3 linked regions of the Caenorhabditis elegans genome follow. The protein of the gene in region 1 interacts with the protein of each later gene in a pairwise test. Each region holds a gene or a part of one and is shown in the gene's direction. Other genes may lie near its edges.

The links.
Region 2: the proteins of npr-21 (region 1) and C18A11.1 interact in a two-hybrid assay, tested with the Caenorhabditis elegans proteins (one large-scale study listed by BioGRID).
Region 3: the proteins of npr-21 (region 1) and djr-1.1 interact in a two-hybrid assay, tested with the Caenorhabditis elegans proteins (one large-scale study listed by BioGRID).

Annotation. Positions count from the first base shown.
Region 1 is NC_003284.9:17,154,753-17,161,108, reverse strand, and holds npr-21 (G-protein coupled receptors family 1 profile domain-containing protein), read left to right. Parts: upstream 1-3,140; 5' UTR 3,141-3,151; coding exon 3,152-3,239; intron 3,240-3,829; coding exon 3,830-3,909; intron 3,910-3,960; coding exon 3,961-4,113; intron 4,114-4,165; coding exon 4,166-4,271; intron 4,272-4,323; coding exon 4,324-4,400; intron 4,401-4,637; coding exon 4,638-4,714; intron 4,715-4,766; coding exon 4,767-4,932; intron 4,933-5,358; coding exon 5,359-5,455; intron 5,456-5,469; exon of another isoform or gene 5,470-5,515; coding exon 5,516-5,664; intron 5,665-5,718; coding exon 5,719-5,814; 3' UTR 5,815-6,021; downstream 6,022-6,356.
Region 2 is NC_003284.9:8,065,876-8,071,772, forward strand, and holds C18A11.1 (Activator of Hsp90 ATPase homolog 1-like protein), read left to right. Parts: upstream 1-3,452; 5' UTR 3,453-3,781; coding exon 3,782-3,823; intron 3,824-3,960; coding exon 3,961-4,130; intron 4,131-4,175; coding exon 4,176-4,323; 3' UTR 4,324-4,414; downstream 4,415-5,897. Other genes in the region: nssp-82 (Neuropeptide-Like Protein), read left to right, coding at 1,813-1,887, 1,936-1,992, 2,053-2,148.
Region 3 is NC_003280.10:287,372-293,660, forward strand, and holds djr-1.1 (Glutathione-independent glyoxalase DJR-1.1), read left to right. Parts: upstream 1-3,210; 5' UTR 3,211-3,237; coding exon 3,238-3,369; intron 3,370-3,562; coding exon 3,563-3,836; intron 3,837-4,202; coding exon 4,203-4,360; 3' UTR 4,361-4,478; downstream 4,479-6,289. Other genes in the region: misc-1 (Mitochondrial 2-oxoglutarate/malate carrier protein), read left to right, coding at 508-824, 944-1,102; mrpl-41 (Large ribosomal subunit protein mL41), read left to right, coding at 1,568-1,776, 2,392-2,499, 2,605-2,730, 2,835-2,934.

The DNA of each region.
Region 1 (6,356 bases):
TCAATTGCACACGTTTTCGGTTTAATTGGCAAACGGGGCCCCATAAAGTTAACACACTTCCTCGCTTCCCTCTTCCACTCATCTATTTTTGCTACGTGTGTGACATTTTGAATAAAACTACACTTCTGGGATAGGGATGAATGGGAGCAGGAAAAAAACGGACAAAGTATAAAGAACAATTATTTTTTTTCGAAATGCTGACCCTGTTGAACCTTAAATTTTTAATTGAGCTCTAGACTTTTTCGATCTAATGAGTTCACACTATTTTCAAAAAAAAACATAAAACTTTTGATAACTATTACAAATTTTGCCCAGCAATTTTGAATTGATATCAAACATGTCACTTTTCTAATGTTCTATAAAACAATTTTTCGAATAAGGATATTAAACGAATTTATGAGTTGCCAAACATAAACTAAAACGAAAATAAAGCAAATAAAGCAAAAAACCATTAGTTATTCAAAATTTTCATTTTAATTCACCAATCCTGCAAAAACATCATCTTTGTTCCATTAAAGTATTTGTACCAACATTTCAAATATCCTACTCATCATTTGCCTTGGTTCAAATTACCAAAACTTTCACGCACTTTTGAACTGTTCTGTTTGTTTTTTTTTTTTCAATTCTGATACATTGTAGTTGCTTTTAGAAAATTAAAATTTGAGTTACAAATGAGATTGTAATATGTCAGCCGCTTCAATACGTACTGACAATGTTTTGTTAGACAAAACTGGGCTGCTTAATTCACCTTAGTCCTCTATTTGTAAAAAAGTTTAACATCAAAAGTCTGATAGTAAGTTAAACGTTGTTTTCTGTAAGTCCGGACCCATCAAATGTCAGCCACACGTTTTTGGTTGAACATCAATTTTTTAGATTTACGAATTTATGGCAATGCAGTTCAAGTTAGCAAAAGCACCATCTTACTATGTCTAATAACATTAACCGTATACTTCTTGCAAGTTTGTCATGTACTTCCTCTTTCCATACGTCTGTCAATCGTCGGCGACAGAGTCCCTCCTCTTCTAGACACCCCCGGATGAGGCTAGATATATAAACATAAAGACTTTTAATAGTTCCTTTCTACCACTTGTGCCATGACGTATCTGGTCCGGATATTAACACTGGTTTCTGCTCACTGTTTCGTATTTTGCCATGTCTATCAGACGTCTACCGGGAAGTTTCATTGGTCATCTCACTCTCTCATTTGATTATTCATATTTGTTGTTGCTATTAGCCGTGAGTTTGTTCTCCGTCTTTTCCAAGAAGTGGCAATTATTGCACTCGCTCAAAGTTTCGTGCTCCCTACTTTTGCAAACCACAATTTGTTTTCAGAAATATGTCTGAGTTGTAGATGTAATAGAATTCATACTGAATTGAGCATCGGAAAAGCAAAATATATTACTCGGTATTCTTAGACAACCGGGAAGAAGAAGCCAGGTTTTGTAGGCAGACGCTCGGCAAAAACAGGAGGTGCTAATTCATTCACGTCTCCATTTTTTTTCGAAAGTTCTCATATTTTGGAGTGTGATTTTTTGAGAATTTATCATAAATCAAAAGGATAATGGCTGTTCATAGCATCTAGCCTGATTCAAAAATTTCGAAATAAATTTTTTAATCATTTGCGAAAAAAACATTTTTCCGACATTAAACATTTAGTTTAAAATTTCAAATTCACATTTAATGATTTACAAATTTCCAAGAAAACAATTCCCGTGAAAATGAACATTTTTGCGCGCGTTCTCACACGTATTAAGTGTCTAATGGTTAGTAATGACTGGCAAAATTGGGATAGAAATTCACGTCATTATTTATGCGATTTGAGCTGGAAGAAAACAATTTTTCTTTGTAGATTTTGAAATTTTTTGAATTTGTGATATTATTTTTTTTTCTTGTAATTTTCTCCCATTTGGTTTGACTTGCAAATATGTAAATTTGGAAAATGCCCTCATTAAAATTTTTTTCTTAAATTCTTAGATTTTCTTTGAGCTCAAGGATAGTATCTTTTAGTTTAAAATGTTCGCTCTGGTACTCTGAATTTTCCAAAAATGCGAACGTGTCTGAGTCCAACAACTCCCAGGTTTCGCGTTGCTCTCAACATCGCCGCGCGGAACACGGTAGTTGTCGGACCGTGTTGCATCATTACTTAGAAATTTTCTGAGCAATTGACTCCGAAAATGGATGTGTTCAAATTTGTGAAAATTGAGCATTCAACACTTTTGTTGGGTTGAGTTTGAAAATTTGAACTTGAACAGACAATTCCCTGTGATCCTTTGTAGCTAAATCTATGTTCTCAGATAACCAACAGTTGGGGGGTAAACCTGCGTGGGTGTGGTTTTATGCTAAATGCGCAGCCGACACCGATGGAAGTCCGCGATTTACAACTTGAGTACCTGTTATATTCGAAAAATAACTTTTCGATGAAGTGTGAAAGTTACTATTAATTTTACGGTGACTAACCTTTTCAAAATCCCGCTGGCATTCAACTTCAAGTTTTATCTTTAAAGCTTATTCACTTTTGACTTTTTGTACACTTCCGATCTTTGAGTTCCACCTTTCGACATCCGCCTACTTTATGTGCATATCGTCAACTCTGAACGACATCGTAACTTCTTCCTCCTATTCCCTGAAACATTTCCACCTGCTCTTCTATTCATAGAATGATGTGGTGGGTGTCAACCTAGGATACTTTGAGCTTTTTTAAAAATTCACTTGATCTATGTGTCTTCCCGACTTCCTTTTCTCTCCGAATTCTTTTCCGAATTCCCCCGAATTTCTTTACTTGGAAAGTAAAAGAGGAAATTAGACGGCAAAAAGAAGATGTGTTTCGTGAACTTTTCACAACACTTCAAGCGTTCTTCTTTGAACTGCCCGTCTCGTCTTGCAACTTTTTTCATTTCATTCTCGTTTTTTTCATCTCATTCACATCTTTAATCATTCATTGAAATCTTAGGGCCGAAAATCCAGTATCGTTTTCATTCTTCTTTTTCGTTGCTCTAGCTCCTCCCCTGCGTCACAACATTTTTCAATTATTCTCAAAGTGTTATTTCTGTTTGTGTGGTTGGAATTCGAACTTTACACTTAAAACTTTTCACCTGCTCTACGTTTTTAGAAACTGTTACAATGTTTTTTCACCAGAATATTTTCAGAACGAATGGAAAGCGACTCCCCACTTAATCATCCTGTGGTACACTTTTTGCTCTGTGTATCCTACCTTTTTGTCTTTCTGGCCACTATAATCGGTATGCCAAGGATCTTTGTTCATATTTTTAATATCTGAAAATATTTTGCAATGATTATATTAAATATTGCAGATATTAATGGTTTTTTTTCGAAGTTTTTCGATGTTCACTTTCAAAATTCATTCTAAACCTAAAGCATGCTCCGGCATACCCAGAGATCATTTTCTGCTTCACACCTTTTCTTCACAATCGAATTGTTTTTTTTTCTAATTTCTTCTAACTCAGACTCGTGAATGCGACAAAATTTCATTTGATTTTCTCATTAGGACGGTTTTCGTAGCTAGGCAAACACACAACCAAGCAAACAATGACATTCATTTTTGATTTGTTATCCAATATCAGATGACAATATATCAGAAGACAGAATCAACAGTAGGCTATAATTAGATTACATTGAAGTGAGCAATAATTGGTGAAACTAAACTGATAATCGACATTTAGGTTCAAATTATATGGTAGAAGTACGTAGTTAATAGTAAGTGGTAGAGGACAAACTATTAGAACTTGAACAATTTATTTTAAAAAAGGAAATTAAGCTATGGGCAAATTTGAACAAAATTACCATCAAGCTATAACATAAATTCTTTCAGGAAATCTTATCATTCTGCTGGTCTTCTTCTCGCAGAAACGAGTCCGAAGTGTGCCCAACTTCTTTCTGGCAAATCTGACGGTAACTCTCCTCCAAAACTCACCTCCTATTCTGAAAATAATCTATTTCTAGGTTGCCGACCTTTTTGTCGGAATCTTCTGCGTTCTCCAGAACGCTGTGAATTTTGTATTCCAAGGACATGGACGGTGGCCGTTTGGCAAAGTGTTATGTTATTCATACATCTACGTACTACACTTCATACCAAATGTGTCGGCTGGAATTCTGGTAGGCAATCATGACGTAGGGAATCTTTGAAAAGCAACATTTTGATATTCAGGTGCTGGTCTCGGTTGAAAGATTGATTGCGGTGCTCCGTCCATTGCGGGTGCGAAGAGCATTTTCACAAAAAGTGCTCATCACATCGTCAGCTGTTGTTTGGCTAAGTAAGCTGACTTAAAAAGAAATGTGGAAATGAAATGTTTTCTTAAATTTCAGCTAGCGCAGTTATGAACACCCCATATGTAGTGGCTAGCCAGTTTTTAGAGATATCAGACGGGAATGAGACATACACAGTAAGTAACTTCACCTACCTGCCTGCATACAGGTTAACCACAGCCGAGTATGAAAAAATTCAGGCTAAAAACTATTATTTAAAAAAAATTCTAAAACCGCTTGGATACAATATGGCTAAATATGCAAACTTTGCCATTGTTTTTTTTCTAAAAGAATTTTCTAAAGATCTTTTGTTAGTTGAAGTATTACCAAATTAGTTCAAGAAGTTCCTTTTCTCGAAATAAAGATTTTTCCAGATCTGCACTAGACGTCATGTGGAAATTTATGGATTCAACCTCCTGAAGCTAGTCGCCACTATCAACTTCATCGTCTGGTGCGTTCGTCAACTCTATATATATTTTGTTTTGACTTTTAAAATTTTTCAGGTACGCCGTCCCTCTAGTAATCCTTCTTTGCATCTACGCTACCATCGGCCTCGTGGTGAGCAAGGCCGCAACAATCACGAAACACTCCGCCAACAAGCTTTTGCCAAGATCAAGCTGGCGATCCGAAGCCTCAACCGGCGGTGTGTCAGTGGAGAAGAGGAGAAAGGTTTGTTTAAAGATTCAGAACATGTGTTCACAGTTTGTTTGTGCCAAGTCGAACCACTTTTTCTCAAACGTTTAGTTCTGAGAGATGACACTTAGCCATATGGTAAAACCAAAAGTTATTGAAATTTGTTGAATTATTCAAAAGTTTGGTATAGGGCAGCATTTGATATTTAGCTTGAAACTTGCTTTTTAAAAAAGTACATGTATAAATCAAAAGACTAGGCACATGTGTTTAAAACCAGTTCAAAAATTGGAACATTTATTAACGGGACAGAAAAAAAAAGGGTCATTCACTGTGAGGAAAGCCTCCAGATTTTCAGAAGTAATATCAAACTACAAACTACAAAATCGACAAAATTTATAAACATACATTTTTCAACAAAAAAGTATTTTGTTGATATATTTCTGACATTCAATTTCACTTCAGGTTGGTCGTTTGGCAGTCGGAATCGTCGTGGCATTCGCGTTCTTCTCACTCCCGAGATATGTATATTTTATGTGGACCGTCTGGCGAGATCCGATGGGTAAGCACGTCGTCCACCTGAACCTCCAAGTTCCAAGATCATAAACATCAAACTTTTCAGCGCCAAGATGTTTGAACTGCCTTCAAAGTGTACTCCAACCCATCAGTTTCCTGCTTCTGTTCTTTAATGCCGCCGTCGACCCATTCCTCTACGCATTCCTTTCAACAAGATTTCGTCAAAGCATCAAAGAAACATTTCATCTTGGAAAGGTAAAGAATGTTCTCCAGCCAAGACATTTTCATTCTATTCGATTCAGCTTTCAGGTGCGTGAAAGCAACATCGAGCAGTCATCACGAGTGCGGCGTAAGGTGTTAAACTCGGAGTTGGAGACGGGTTACGAATATCATAATCACTCATAACAAATGTACATACATGCTTTAAAATTCTAATCCCACTTATTCACACATTCTCACACATATTGCGTTCTGTTTTTGTGATCTCACCCATGATTTTCAAAACTTTATAATGCTATCACCGTTTCTTTCCACAACAGTCTCCTGTCAAATTTGTAACATATACGTAATTATGGATATAGTTTCTGTCAATAATGAATTTGTCAAAAAATCAATTTTTTGGGTTTTCATGCTTAAACAGAGTTTGTAAATTATATTAATCCCAAATTACAAAATTATGCAATCGGATTTCTCAAAAATGTTTTAAAACTTTTTAAGAAAGGTCAAAATTTCAATGATCATTAAATGAACATTGATTTCCGGCCATGTGCCACATACAAACATAAATATTGAAGATTTTAGCTGAATTGAACAGTTTTTTTTTGAAATTTTGAACTGCAATGTAAAATATTTTAAAAACTTTGAAAAGTCTCATTATGAAATTTAGTTGTTTGGGTAAACTTTCGAGGTCTTTGGGCAACTAGAGCTACTTTTATATATTTTCAGCA
Region 2 (5,897 bases), 9.1 Mb from region 1:
AAACAATTAGATTGGGTATATTTGCTGGCCGACTTCAATGATCTTCAATCTCGATTGAAAACTTGAGAATTCTATTGCTTTCCAGAAACAAAATGTTGTTCGTTTTTTTTTCATTCCTTATAAAAAATCGAAAACCACACAATTTCCTTATAAGATGTTCAGGGAAGTGTGCAGTTTCACCGAAATTCCCACTTTATAACAGCGGTGAGACCAAAGAAGCAAACTCTACCCGGTTCTAAGAATTAATTGACAAGTGTTCTACAAAATTAGAATTTTAAAGAAGATGAGGGCAAACCATTTTAGTGGTTTTGTGGTAACTGAGAAAAACAATGTCCACTATATATGTAGACCGCTTTTACAATTTTATGAGACAGTTGAAAAATTATTGTGAGTTCAAATAATCAAAATTTGAAATTTAGCCAATGAAAATTATATTTGAACTTTTAAAAAACCTTTTTAAACTTCTTTTTTTGTTAAAAAAAATAACCCAATTCTGACGAAAATCTGATCCTACAACATTGCTGCGTCTCAAAAAAAAAACGATGCAAAGTTGGCAAACGTCAAGTTTTTAGTTAAAATTATACTTTTTCTCTGTTTATTTTGAGCCGCCATAAAAATTTCTGAATATGGCTGGGAGGTTTCATTACAACAATTTGTTTATTTCGGCGCATTTAAAGTCTATATAACATATGTAAAAACTCAGTGATGATAATTCTTGTTTTTCTTCGGATTATTTCAGTGATATTTAAAACAATCAAGCTTTCAAAAAAATAGGTATAAAACGTTGAATGCAAAAATTTTGGTATATCTAAGCATCATGTAAGCCAACAAAAGTGGGCGTTGTGACTAGAAAAACAACAAAAATTATCTGAATACTCATCCAAACACATTTTAATGCAAATTACCTTGTGGGCGCTCTCATGTTACTGACTCGGAGCCAAATTTCTCCAAAACTATAAATTCTCGTTTTTCCCAATTTCATGCACACTTGAATTTTGTTTTCCTGTAGACATCGTTCAAAATATTTCCCCGAACTTCTCATTTAAGAAATTGCAGTTCATAAATCTTCAATGGTTGTTTTTATACGTAGGTGAACTTTTGAAATATCGAAAATCGCTGGGCCATTGAAAATAAATGACACGTATTGAAATATCCATGAATTTCCGTTGTCCAACCCCAAACGTCACTTGACAAAGTCCACCAAAGTGCTTGCCTGCTTTAAAATTCTTAATTTTAGTTGACCAATTCAACTAGCATATCTCACTATGTGTGCATAGGCATGCACGTGGACACGTCAAGTTTTTTTTTGGTTGCTCAATCGCACTAATGGCTTTTCCAGAGTTTTTTGGAAGTCGTGGTGCCAATAGAAGTAGAAGAAGATGTCAGCCATTTTCTACTCATCCACTTTCTATTCCTTACCTGGTCGCTTAATTTTGCGAATATTGAGCAAGTTGATATGTTTTTTTCGGTAAAAATGCTTTAAAAACTTAAAATAATTTTTTAAAACATATGAATAGCTTGTGGGACATGATTTTTTATTTATGGTATTCTAATCAGATAATATGTATTTTGTGCGTAAAAAACAGAACAATGGATATTATTCGATGCACCATCCACCCACATGATATCATTTTCCTTCTTATTTCCACCCTATGTGCCACTTTGCACACCTACTTGAAAACTGGAGAACCCATTCTATTTCCCGAGAAATACTTGTTCTATTGGTCATTTTATTTTCCGGCTCACTACTTTCTTGCCGAGTTGTATAAGGTTAAAAACATCAAACCCCATTTGTAGAGCCGCATCGCCGTCATGTTCAACGTCAAACTTCTTCTCGCTTTTTTCTTGTGTGTTTTGGTAGTTGAAACTACCACAAAGGTGGTCAAGGTAAAACATAATTAGTGTTGAAATGAAAGCTAAATTCACAATTTTCAGTTTCACTCAGTTTCCTTCAATCAACCATCCTGGAGAACTTCCCAACGCTCCAGACAGGTTGGTAGATGATTTACTGTTAGTTTTCAGCTGCAGTTTTTACAGAGTCACAATTTTCAGATTCAAGGCTACGGTCCAGTGTCGGCGTTTGCTGAAAGCGGCTCCTCTCGACCACTTTTTTTCGGTTCATGGCGCAAACGCTTCGATGAGGAATAAATTTTATTCATTCGTTTCTCAAGATCTTACGTTTTCCCGTTCGTTTGTCAGTGAAAATAAAAAGTTGTTATGTGTTTTTTGTTTTTTTAAACAAGACTGAACATATTGAATTAATTTATATATAGTTGAAAAGGAAATTACATTTTTGCACACTGCAACTTCCGAACTCGCTGGTCTGCAACGGTGGCTCTTTATTCGAATAGAATAATTCAGAAGGTCATTAAAAATGTCGAGAAACGTGATCTGGTCCAAGTCACTTTTAAAGTTGGTAAAAACACTAATTGGAGGAACTAAACTAAAGAGAAAACTAGGATGTGGTATTTGAAGGAGATCATTTTCCTTTGAAAAAGAGGTCATGCATAACATTTTCATAATAATCAGGTCATACCACCCAATACGTTAAGCCAAAGAACAAATATATGTAGACAAGACTTTTCTAAATTCTGGTGCTTTGAAGAAAAAACTTTCAGGCTGAGAACATTGAAAATGCAACGAAGTTTTTTGTTGATTGTTTGTTTTGTGTTGAACGATTACCCTTGTTAAACCATAGCTAAATTTTTCAACTAGGGACTAGAGTACTTGATTACCCATAGACTGATCGCGTCTGCTCCGCGCGCATTCCAAATTTGTAAAATGTCTTTAAAAAATTCTGTGCGCGCGGATAGAACGCGATCAGAGCGCAAACTTGGCGCGGAAGAAGCTAGAAAACACGTGTCATTGGAGCGTGAACCAGTAATCTAGTCGCGCTTCAGGAGGAGCAATTTGCCGAGTAGTCACGTTGGTCGATTAAATAATAAAAAACTGAACGTTATATATATATTAATATATAAAATTTTTTTCAGGCATTTTTCTGATCTCGCTTCTTTTCAGCTTTGAATTGAGGTTTGTTTGCGGGTTTTGCTTTGTTAAGAATACATTATTAGAAAACGTCAAAAGTTTGGAAAAAAATCCGTCCAAATAGAAAATATATTTTTTTCGGATAATTTTTTAGTTTTTTGAATATTTCTTGAGATTCAAATTTCAAACTCAAATGATTTATATGTGTAAAAATAGTTTACACTTGGGTACATCATTTCTGTAGGAAAAATCTAGAATTTTCGACAAAATTTTTTTTGCATTTTTTTTGACGACCAATCAAAAAAAAACTTTTTTGGACGGATTTTTTTCCAAATTTTTGTCGTTTTCTAATAATTTATTTTAAACAAAGCAAAACCCGCACACAAACCGCAATATATTATCAAAACCTGCCAAAATGATTATTCGTGTATTTTAAGAAAATTTTTTGATAAGAGAAAAAGAAAGACACTATAGTTGGTTATTAGAGCGCTATGAGGCAAACCACTTTTCCATATGTCCGCATATCACTTTATCTTAGTCAAACTCCACACTTCTTTTGTCCCCGCGGAGCAAAACTCACTGCTTTTGTTATCGAATTTTTTTTCTCAACCCGGGAAATTTCGCAATACTTTCTGACCGAAAGGTAAACATATTGGTTGCCCATCATCACGAGTAAGAACAAAATATACGGAACCATCGTTATCGAGAACAAAATAGACTGGTTGTCTACATAAAATACGTTTTAGTCTCGTCATTCGTTTCAATTTCATCGGTTGTGTTCATACGTATTGGCAAAATGACAAAAGCCCCGATCGATTTTGAGGAAGAGTGGTGCAAGGTGAGTAGACAAACTTTTTTTTATCGATCTAATAAAATATTATCAAAAAAAAACAGACGACAAATTGTGAAATTAAAAATATCAATTGATTTTCATATTTCAATATTAAAAAAAAAAAAAGTTTTCATAATTTCCAGATTTCAAATGGAACTTTGGAAATAAAATGGTATTATTTTCCAACAACTCAAAGCTTGAAAATTGACATCGAAAAAATCCAACAAGTGAAAATTCAAAGTCAAGCTAAAAGTTATGTCAAAAACTGGGGATCCGGAGATTTGTGTGCATGGTGGGCATGTGATATGAAACGGTAAACTCAATCAATGCTACTGTTTTTTCACAGTCAAATTTTCAGCAACTTTCGCAGTCACCCAGAAGAGTTTTTCAATGTAAAAATTGACATCGGCGAAACGTTCAAAAAAGGATTCACTGTACATGAACTGGACAATTTCTTGCCTGCAATTCGAAAGTGGCTGAAAGTCCAAAATATTGTTTTTGAGTGAATTTTTTTGTGTTAATGTAAAAAATGTATGAGTTGTGTAATAAAATGTTTTGTCATCCAATATTCCAAAGTTAAATAAAAATTGTTTCAAATCCGACCAAAATGAAATTGAAACTGTCCTACCCAAATTTTTCCTTTTCACAAAAAGGTAAATCGAAAAAAGATATTTATGCATTGTCGTCTTCGTCAATTTTCAAACTTATCAATTTTCGACAGTTTCATTAACCGTCAATTTTCGTTTTATGTAAATGAAACCAATAGAATATAATTACCGATTTAATTGTATGCTTTGTATAAATGTTTAATCAGCTTACCAATTGCCTCAAAACAGTTTTTCCTTTCATTCTTTGTCCTATCTCCGTCGGTGAAAATGTTAAACTATGCGTTTCTAATTCTTTCAATAATGTCTTATTAAAACACTATTTCAAAAAACTGGGAATACGTACGAATCAACCACTTTCCAACCAACTTTATCTGCTCTCTAACCAACTTTATCCATTTTTCAACCAACTTTTGCCAACTTTTACCAATTTTCGCCAACTGTCACGAACTTTGTCCAGATGTTTAGAGCACTGTAGAAGTTTTGCCACTTCTGTGAATGTCACTTAGAAATAGGCAAAAGTTGATAGAGATTTGTTTGATACTTAACCAAGCCATATAAAAAATGAGAATGAGAATGAAACGAGAACGTGGAAATACAAATTAATCTATTATCAAAAAAAAAATTAAAAATCATTACGTGTAAACACTGTGATGGTCAAAACTCACACAAGACAACCAATATTGCGCATTTTAATTATTTGTTAAATAACTGGCAAAAATTGCAAGCAAAAATAACTACTCTAGACAAAAAACCCCCGTTTTTTTTTCAATCCCTCACAATGCTTTATTGTTTGTAATAAAAACTATAATATATCAAAATGTTATATGTCAGAAAATTACCTTGAAGTGTTTTTTCTCAGACTTTCGCAACAAAAATACGTACTAATACAGCGCGCTAACTGTAATGGGACATTGTTACTTTGTAACTTCTACTCAGCACACCGACACCAAATTCAGTACATGGACCACGTATTTTTTCTAGGGTATGAAGTTTTTTCTCTGCAAAACAAAAAAGACAGTTTGTTGCTTTTGGTTTATTAAGTAATCAGATATATTTTCGAAACAACAAAAGTGAAGTTATGAAGTAAATAATCAAATGTGGTTTACCGGCTCAAGCAGTTACCAACTGACTGAGCCATGAGCCATGGAGGATGAGAAAATCCTAGATCATCTGTGATTGTGACTAAATTGTTTGTTTGGTTTTCTGGTCTTTTTTCTTTCCTTTTTTTGGCGAAAAAATTCGTTAAAAAATTTGCCCGTGCGGGAGAGTTGAACTCATCCCCTCCCAACAAAGGAGCTTTTCATCAGTGCAACAAATCCAAATGTTGTTAGTGGCCCGAATCCAAGCCATATACTGACTAGTCTTTTCTGAGTGATAGATGTACTCGGAAAAGGCCTTTTCATATTTGTGGCCATACATTTCGAGAAATTTGTTCAAAACCAGAAATGAGAACTTTGCACCATCGTTTTCCA
Region 3 (6,289 bases), on another chromosome or scaffold:
AATTTTCGTCACAAGAAACTTAAAATTACCGTTTTTACAATAATGTCTCATTTTTATCGAAAATTTCTTACAAAAAATACCGGATTTCGTCAAAAATCTTAATTTTTATTTGATGAGTTTGGGTCTGCTAGGCTGCAAACTACAAATTTCGATTTAGCAGACCAAAGTGGTTTTGAAGAGATTTGGTCTGCTAGACTACAAACTACAAATTTCGATTTAGCAGACCAATGTATTTTGATGAGATATGGTCTGCTAGACTACAAACTGCAAATTTCGATTTAGCAGACCAATGTATTTTGATGAGATATGGTCTGCTAGACTACAAACTACAAATTTCGAATTAGCAGACCAATGTGATTTTGAAGAGATTTGGTCTGCTAAGCTACAATCTACGATTTCCGATTTAACAGACCCAAGTTTTAAAAATCGCATTTTGTTGGAAATTGTTGGAAATTCCAAATTTTTCATTTCAAAAATTGAAATTTTAATAAAAATTTCTCATTCCAGGAGTCGTCAATGCCCTTACCCGTATTACAAAAGAAGAAGGTGTCCTAACTCTTTGGCGTGGATGTACACCTACAGTACTCCGAGCAATGGTCGTAAATGCCGCCCAACTTGCCACATATTCCCAGGCGAAACAGGCACTTTTGGCTTCTGGAAAGGTTCAAGATGGCATTTTCTGCCACTTTTTGGCATCAATGATCAGTGGATTGGCAACTACAATTGCATCGATGCCTGTCGATATTGCAAAAACGAGAATTCAATCAATGAAAGTTATTGATGGAAAACCGGAATATAAGAATGCTTTTGATGTTTGGGGAAAGGTAAATTTAACTTTTAAAAAAATGTAAAAATTCGAAAATCTAATTTTCCCGTTTTTGCTAAAAAGTAGGTTTTCACTCGGATATCCCCAAATTTTAAACCAAAAATTTAAATTTTCCAGGTCATCAAAAACGAAGGAATCTTCGCCCTCTGGAAGGGCTTTACCCCATATTACATGCGTCTTGGACCCCATACCGTGCTCACTTTCATCATTTTGGAACAAATGAATGCCGCCTACTTCCAATATGTGCTCAAGCGAGATGTGACCAGTGCCTTGTAGAATCGATTTTTCAGCTATTTTTCGACCAAAAAATCACAGTTTTATTATTTTTTTTGAACATAATTTTATGCTATTTAGGTTGTGTTGTGTACACTTTTCAGATTTTAAATTTTGGCCAGAAATTTTGTTTTAGCCAGGAAAATTCAGTATTTTTTCTTCAGTTTTTCGTGTTCATACCAATTTTTTCTTGTATTTTTTTCTGCATATAAATGCAATTTTTAATGATTTTCAAAACGTTTGTTCTCTGTTTTTTTTTTTGGTTTTTTCCCGCTTCTTATATTTTTTAAAATTCTATTTTCAGGTATTGCAGGCAGGGCTATTTCAGCCAAAAATCCATTTTTTCTCGATATTTTCATTTTTAATTTTGAAAAATCCAGATTACCATTCAAAAATCGACTTTTTTCTTAATTTCCATATTTTTAAGCAAACAATCGAAAATTTCAATTAAAAAATCCAATTTTTCAGATGAAACTGGTGCTCGTAAGCACTCGTGGAGTCCGTTCACTCAATTCAACCAATTTTCCGGCTCCATGGCCATTTGTGAAGAAAGGAGCATTTGGACAAAGGAAAATCGGTCCAATGAACTACGAAAAATTCAAATGGCCCGGACAGAATCGCGAATTTCCAGAACTTTCTCCGAAATTTCAGAAATTGAATCCAAAAGAGTTGCATAGGTGTGAAATTTTGTAATTTTTTTCAATATTAACCCCAAACGTTTTAAGACTTTTAAATTTCTCATCCAGACCACTTGGGTCTGCTAAATCGAAAATTGTAGTTTGTAGTCTAGCAGACCAAATTTCTTCAAAACAAAATGGGTCTGCTAAACGACAACTTGTAGTTTGTAGTGTAGCAGACCCAAAGTTTTCAATTTTCGCAATAAAAATTAGAAAATGATGAATTTTTCAATTTTTCAGTAGGAAAATGAATTTTTTTCAAATAGAAATTAGCAAAAATTCAAGTGTTTTGCAATTTTTGTGTTTTAAGACAAAAGTGCGTATTTTCATATTAAATCCTGAAAAAATCGGAACTTTCGGGGAAAATTGATCTAATATCAAATTTTTGAGTGAATTAACATTGTATTCCAAAAAAAAAAAGAATCAAAAATCTAAATTTTAAGCTGAAAACAGGCAATTTTTATATTGGTCTGCTAAATCGAAATGTGTAGTTTGTAGTCTAGCAGACCAAATTTCTTCAATATCACTCGGGTCTGCTAAATCGGTATTTGTAGTTTGTAGTCTAGTTTGTAGCAGGCCCATCCTCGATTATTTTCTAAAATTTTAATTTTCCAGGTACACCGGAGTCCAGGCGGACGGATTTCACGACGAAAAGACTGGAGAGTTTGTACCGGTGAAAGAGATGCGATCAGAGCTTGTTGTACCGAATTTGGATGGTTTCAAGTACGATTTAAGGGATTTTCAAATGAAAAATTCACGAAATATGGGTAAAACCCATGAAAATTGACTTTTTTTTTTGAATTTTCAAGTTCAGTTTCAAGTTTTCAGACTTCGGCCCTACGTCTCCTACCGTACAGATGTTCAAATCGAAAAGCGACGAGTTGCGTATGAGAAGAAAGTTTTGGAAAAAGGATCCGAACGATTGGCTGATTTACATACTGTTGAGGATGAGAGGTAAAACTAAAAATTTCTGATTTTTTTTATTTGAAATTACCTGAAAAAAAGCAGTTTTGTAGATTTTTTGCCCAAAAAATTGAAAAAAAAATTAAATTTTCCAGATGGCCACCACCGAAAATGTCAGCTGAAACATTGTTCGAATTGGCGTACGGCGACACTGTCCGAAGTGCATACAAGGAGGGAAAATATGGAAATAAATAATGTTAAATCGATTTTTTTTTCATAGATTTTTCATATTTTATAGCGATTTTTCTGTTATATTTTTTGTTTTTGTTGAAAAAAAAATTTCCCTTTTTTTTCTGTATTTTTTCCTCAAAATTCGAGTTGTTTCCCCTTTTTTATATTTAAAATTTTCAGATTTGAAGTCAAAAACCAAGAAATTGACTAATCTCCTAAACATAAACTTAAAAAAAAACGTCAAAAACCAAAAAATTTTAATTTTTAAAACTTACTTTTGAGTTTTTTTCCCTTTTTCAGAATTTTTCAACTGAGCAACTTTGAAAAATGGCTCAAAAATCGGCTTTAATCATATTGGCGGCCGAAGGAGCTGAGGAAATGGAGGTCATTATCACTGGAGATGTACTTGCTCGTGGTGAAATTCGTGTGGTTTATGCCGGATTAGATGGAGCCGAACCGGTACGGGAATTAGCAGAAAATTGTAAAAAATCTAGAATTTAAAAAATTAAAAATTCCGAAATCCCAAAAAAAAAAATCAATAATTGAGGTATTTTAACCCCAAAATATGTTTAAATTTGAGAAAAATTCAGAAATTTCAAATAATTTTTCTTTTCGAAACCAGTCAAAAATCATAAATATTCACATTTTCCAGGTAAAATGTGCTCGCGGAGCCCACATCGTGCCAGACGTCAAACTCGAAGACGTGGAAACCGAAAAATTCGATATTGTGATTCTTCCAGGCGGCCAACCGGGCAGCAACACGTTGGCTGAAAGCCTACTTGTCCGCGATGTTCTCAAGAGCCAAGTAGAGTCTGGTGGGCTGATTGGAGCAATTTGTGCAGCTCCAATTGCACTCTTGAGCCATGGAGTCAAGGCAGAACTTGTGACAAGTCATCCAAGTGTTAAGGAGAAACTCGAGAAAGGAGGTACAGCTGGTTTTGCACTTTTTTTGGTGAAAAGTCGCTAAAAATCGAACAATTTCATAGGGGAGCCTTAACTATTCATTAAAAAAATCTACATTAGGCAAAACTAGCGAATTTTTCACTTGCAACGTGGCCTGGAAAAAACTCGGCCACCGAATTTTCCGCGGCCACTTAGTGAGATCCTATAACTTTCATGACTTATGTGTTTCTATCCAAATTGATGGTATGAATATCGGTATTCTCGGCTGAAACATGCAATAAATACCGTATTCCAACCAACAATTCGGTGGAATAGAGCACATTTGTCACTGGGGATGCGGAAGCTATGCCCAAATTTTCATTTCTCCCCGAAAAACTTGTGATTTCCAGGCTACAAGTACTCGGAGGATCGTGTTGTTGTCAGTGGCAAAATCATCACCTCTCGTGGACCCGGAACTGCCTTCGAATTTGCGCTGAAAATTGTGGAGCTGCTTGAGGGAAAGGACAAGGCCACCAGCCTTATTGCTCCGATGCTCCTGAAGCTCTAATTCTTCCCGTTTTTTTTTCGCTGAATTTCCTCTTGGTTTATTGTATATTCGTCACAATTTCACGTTTTTCCCACACCTATAAATTATACATTTCTTTTTTAAATAAAAAATCTAGAAAGCTCCGAGAAAACTACAAATTTGTTTATCCAATGACAGCAGTCACCCGAGTAACGAGGACATACTCTGATGAGCTTAATCAACAGAGCGCGCGCGCGAGCAACTTAAAATGACTTCCGCGGTTATTTCCCTCACGAAACTTTGATTTTTCCTTTTTTCTCATTTTTCTTGCGAATTTATATTATTTCCTAAACTTAAGTGTAAGACGTGTAAGCCTAAGCCTATCCTAAACATAAGCCTAACAAAGTAAGCCTTAGCCTAGCCTAAGCCACAGCCTGAACCTAAGCCAAAGCCAATGCTTAAGGCCAAGTCTAGCCTATTCCTAAACCTAAGCCTAAGCGTAAGCCTAGCCTAAGCCAAAGCTGAAGCCTAAGTCTATCCAAAATATAAGCCTAAGCGTGAGCCTAGCCTAAACCTAAGCCTAAGCATAACCCTAAGCCTAAGCCTAAGCCTAGCCTAAGACTAGCCTAAAACTAAGCATAGCCTAAACATAAGCCTGAGTCTAAGCCTAAGTCTAATCCTAAACCAAAGCCTAAGCCTAAGTCTAGTCCTAAACCAAAGCCAAAGCCTAGCTAGTGAATCAAGTCCTGAACCAGAGAACTAACTAAGCCTTGAGCCCCCAGAAGCCCGGAGTTACCTCCAGTGCCGAAATTGACCGTCTTGGACTCTCTATTTTCAGATCCTGACGCATTCTGACCTTGATAATCGGCTTCTGACTCTCTTTTGTGGTCTTTTTTTCCAATTTTCAGAAAAAGCGATGATTTTTTTCCGGATTCTGTCACGTCAGAGATGTTGCAAGTCCGAGAAACATGACATTTTTTGTATTTTTGATTGTTCTGATTTTGATTTTTTGAATTTCCACACGAAAAGTGGTTGATTGAATGCCAGAAGATATCAGGATTTTTTGTTTAAAGAATCATCATACTTCCGTCTTTGACAAATCTTCGATACAATTTATCGTAATTGTGCTTGGCCATTACGGTTCATTTTCTATCATTTAAAATATCCTAGTAGGCCCAAAAAGGCTTGATCTACGTAGATCTACAAAAAATGCGGGAGTTTAGACGCAGAGTTCTCAACTGATTTCGCATAGTTAAGAACGTGCTGACGTCACATTTTTTTTGGGGCGAACAATTCCCACATTTTTTGTAGATTTTTTGTAAACATTTTTTGTAAACAGTGATCGGACAGCCTGACACCACGTGCTCTACCGTTAAGGTTACCTCCACCGACATCTTGCCTGTGCATGTATACATTTCTTTTATTCACTAAACCCTGTTTTTTTTTAAATTTTATAATAGGAACCGTAAGTTAAGAATTTCTGACTGAGATAAAAAAGAACTGCAAGATTTCAAGAGAAAAATGGTTTAGTTTATTCAAACTGAACTTTATCCTCCAGAAAAAACCTGATCACTTTAATTTTCTTCAATTAGCATTGATCTCAAGAACTGAGCTCGATTATTGTCGAAAACAAAGCGAGATGTTACATTATTTTATAAATTCATTTTGTGCGATCATTGTTGATTTCTCTGGAGGTATAAAGATCAGTTCAAACTCGGAAGATGGTTGAAACTATAGATAGTTACCGTTGAATAAATTTTCTTCGCACACACTCATGCCTAGGGAAATAAGTGCTTAAATGACCTGATGTCAGAATAAAACTTTTCAATAAATTTTGGACAATTTTGCACAATCTTCATATCCGAGTAAACTAAAGCACTGTCGCATGCTTGAAGCCTCTTATTACATACAACTGAAATTTTTTCACCCTCTAAGCCTAACTATCTATGTAGTTCTTGCTCAGTGTTTCCC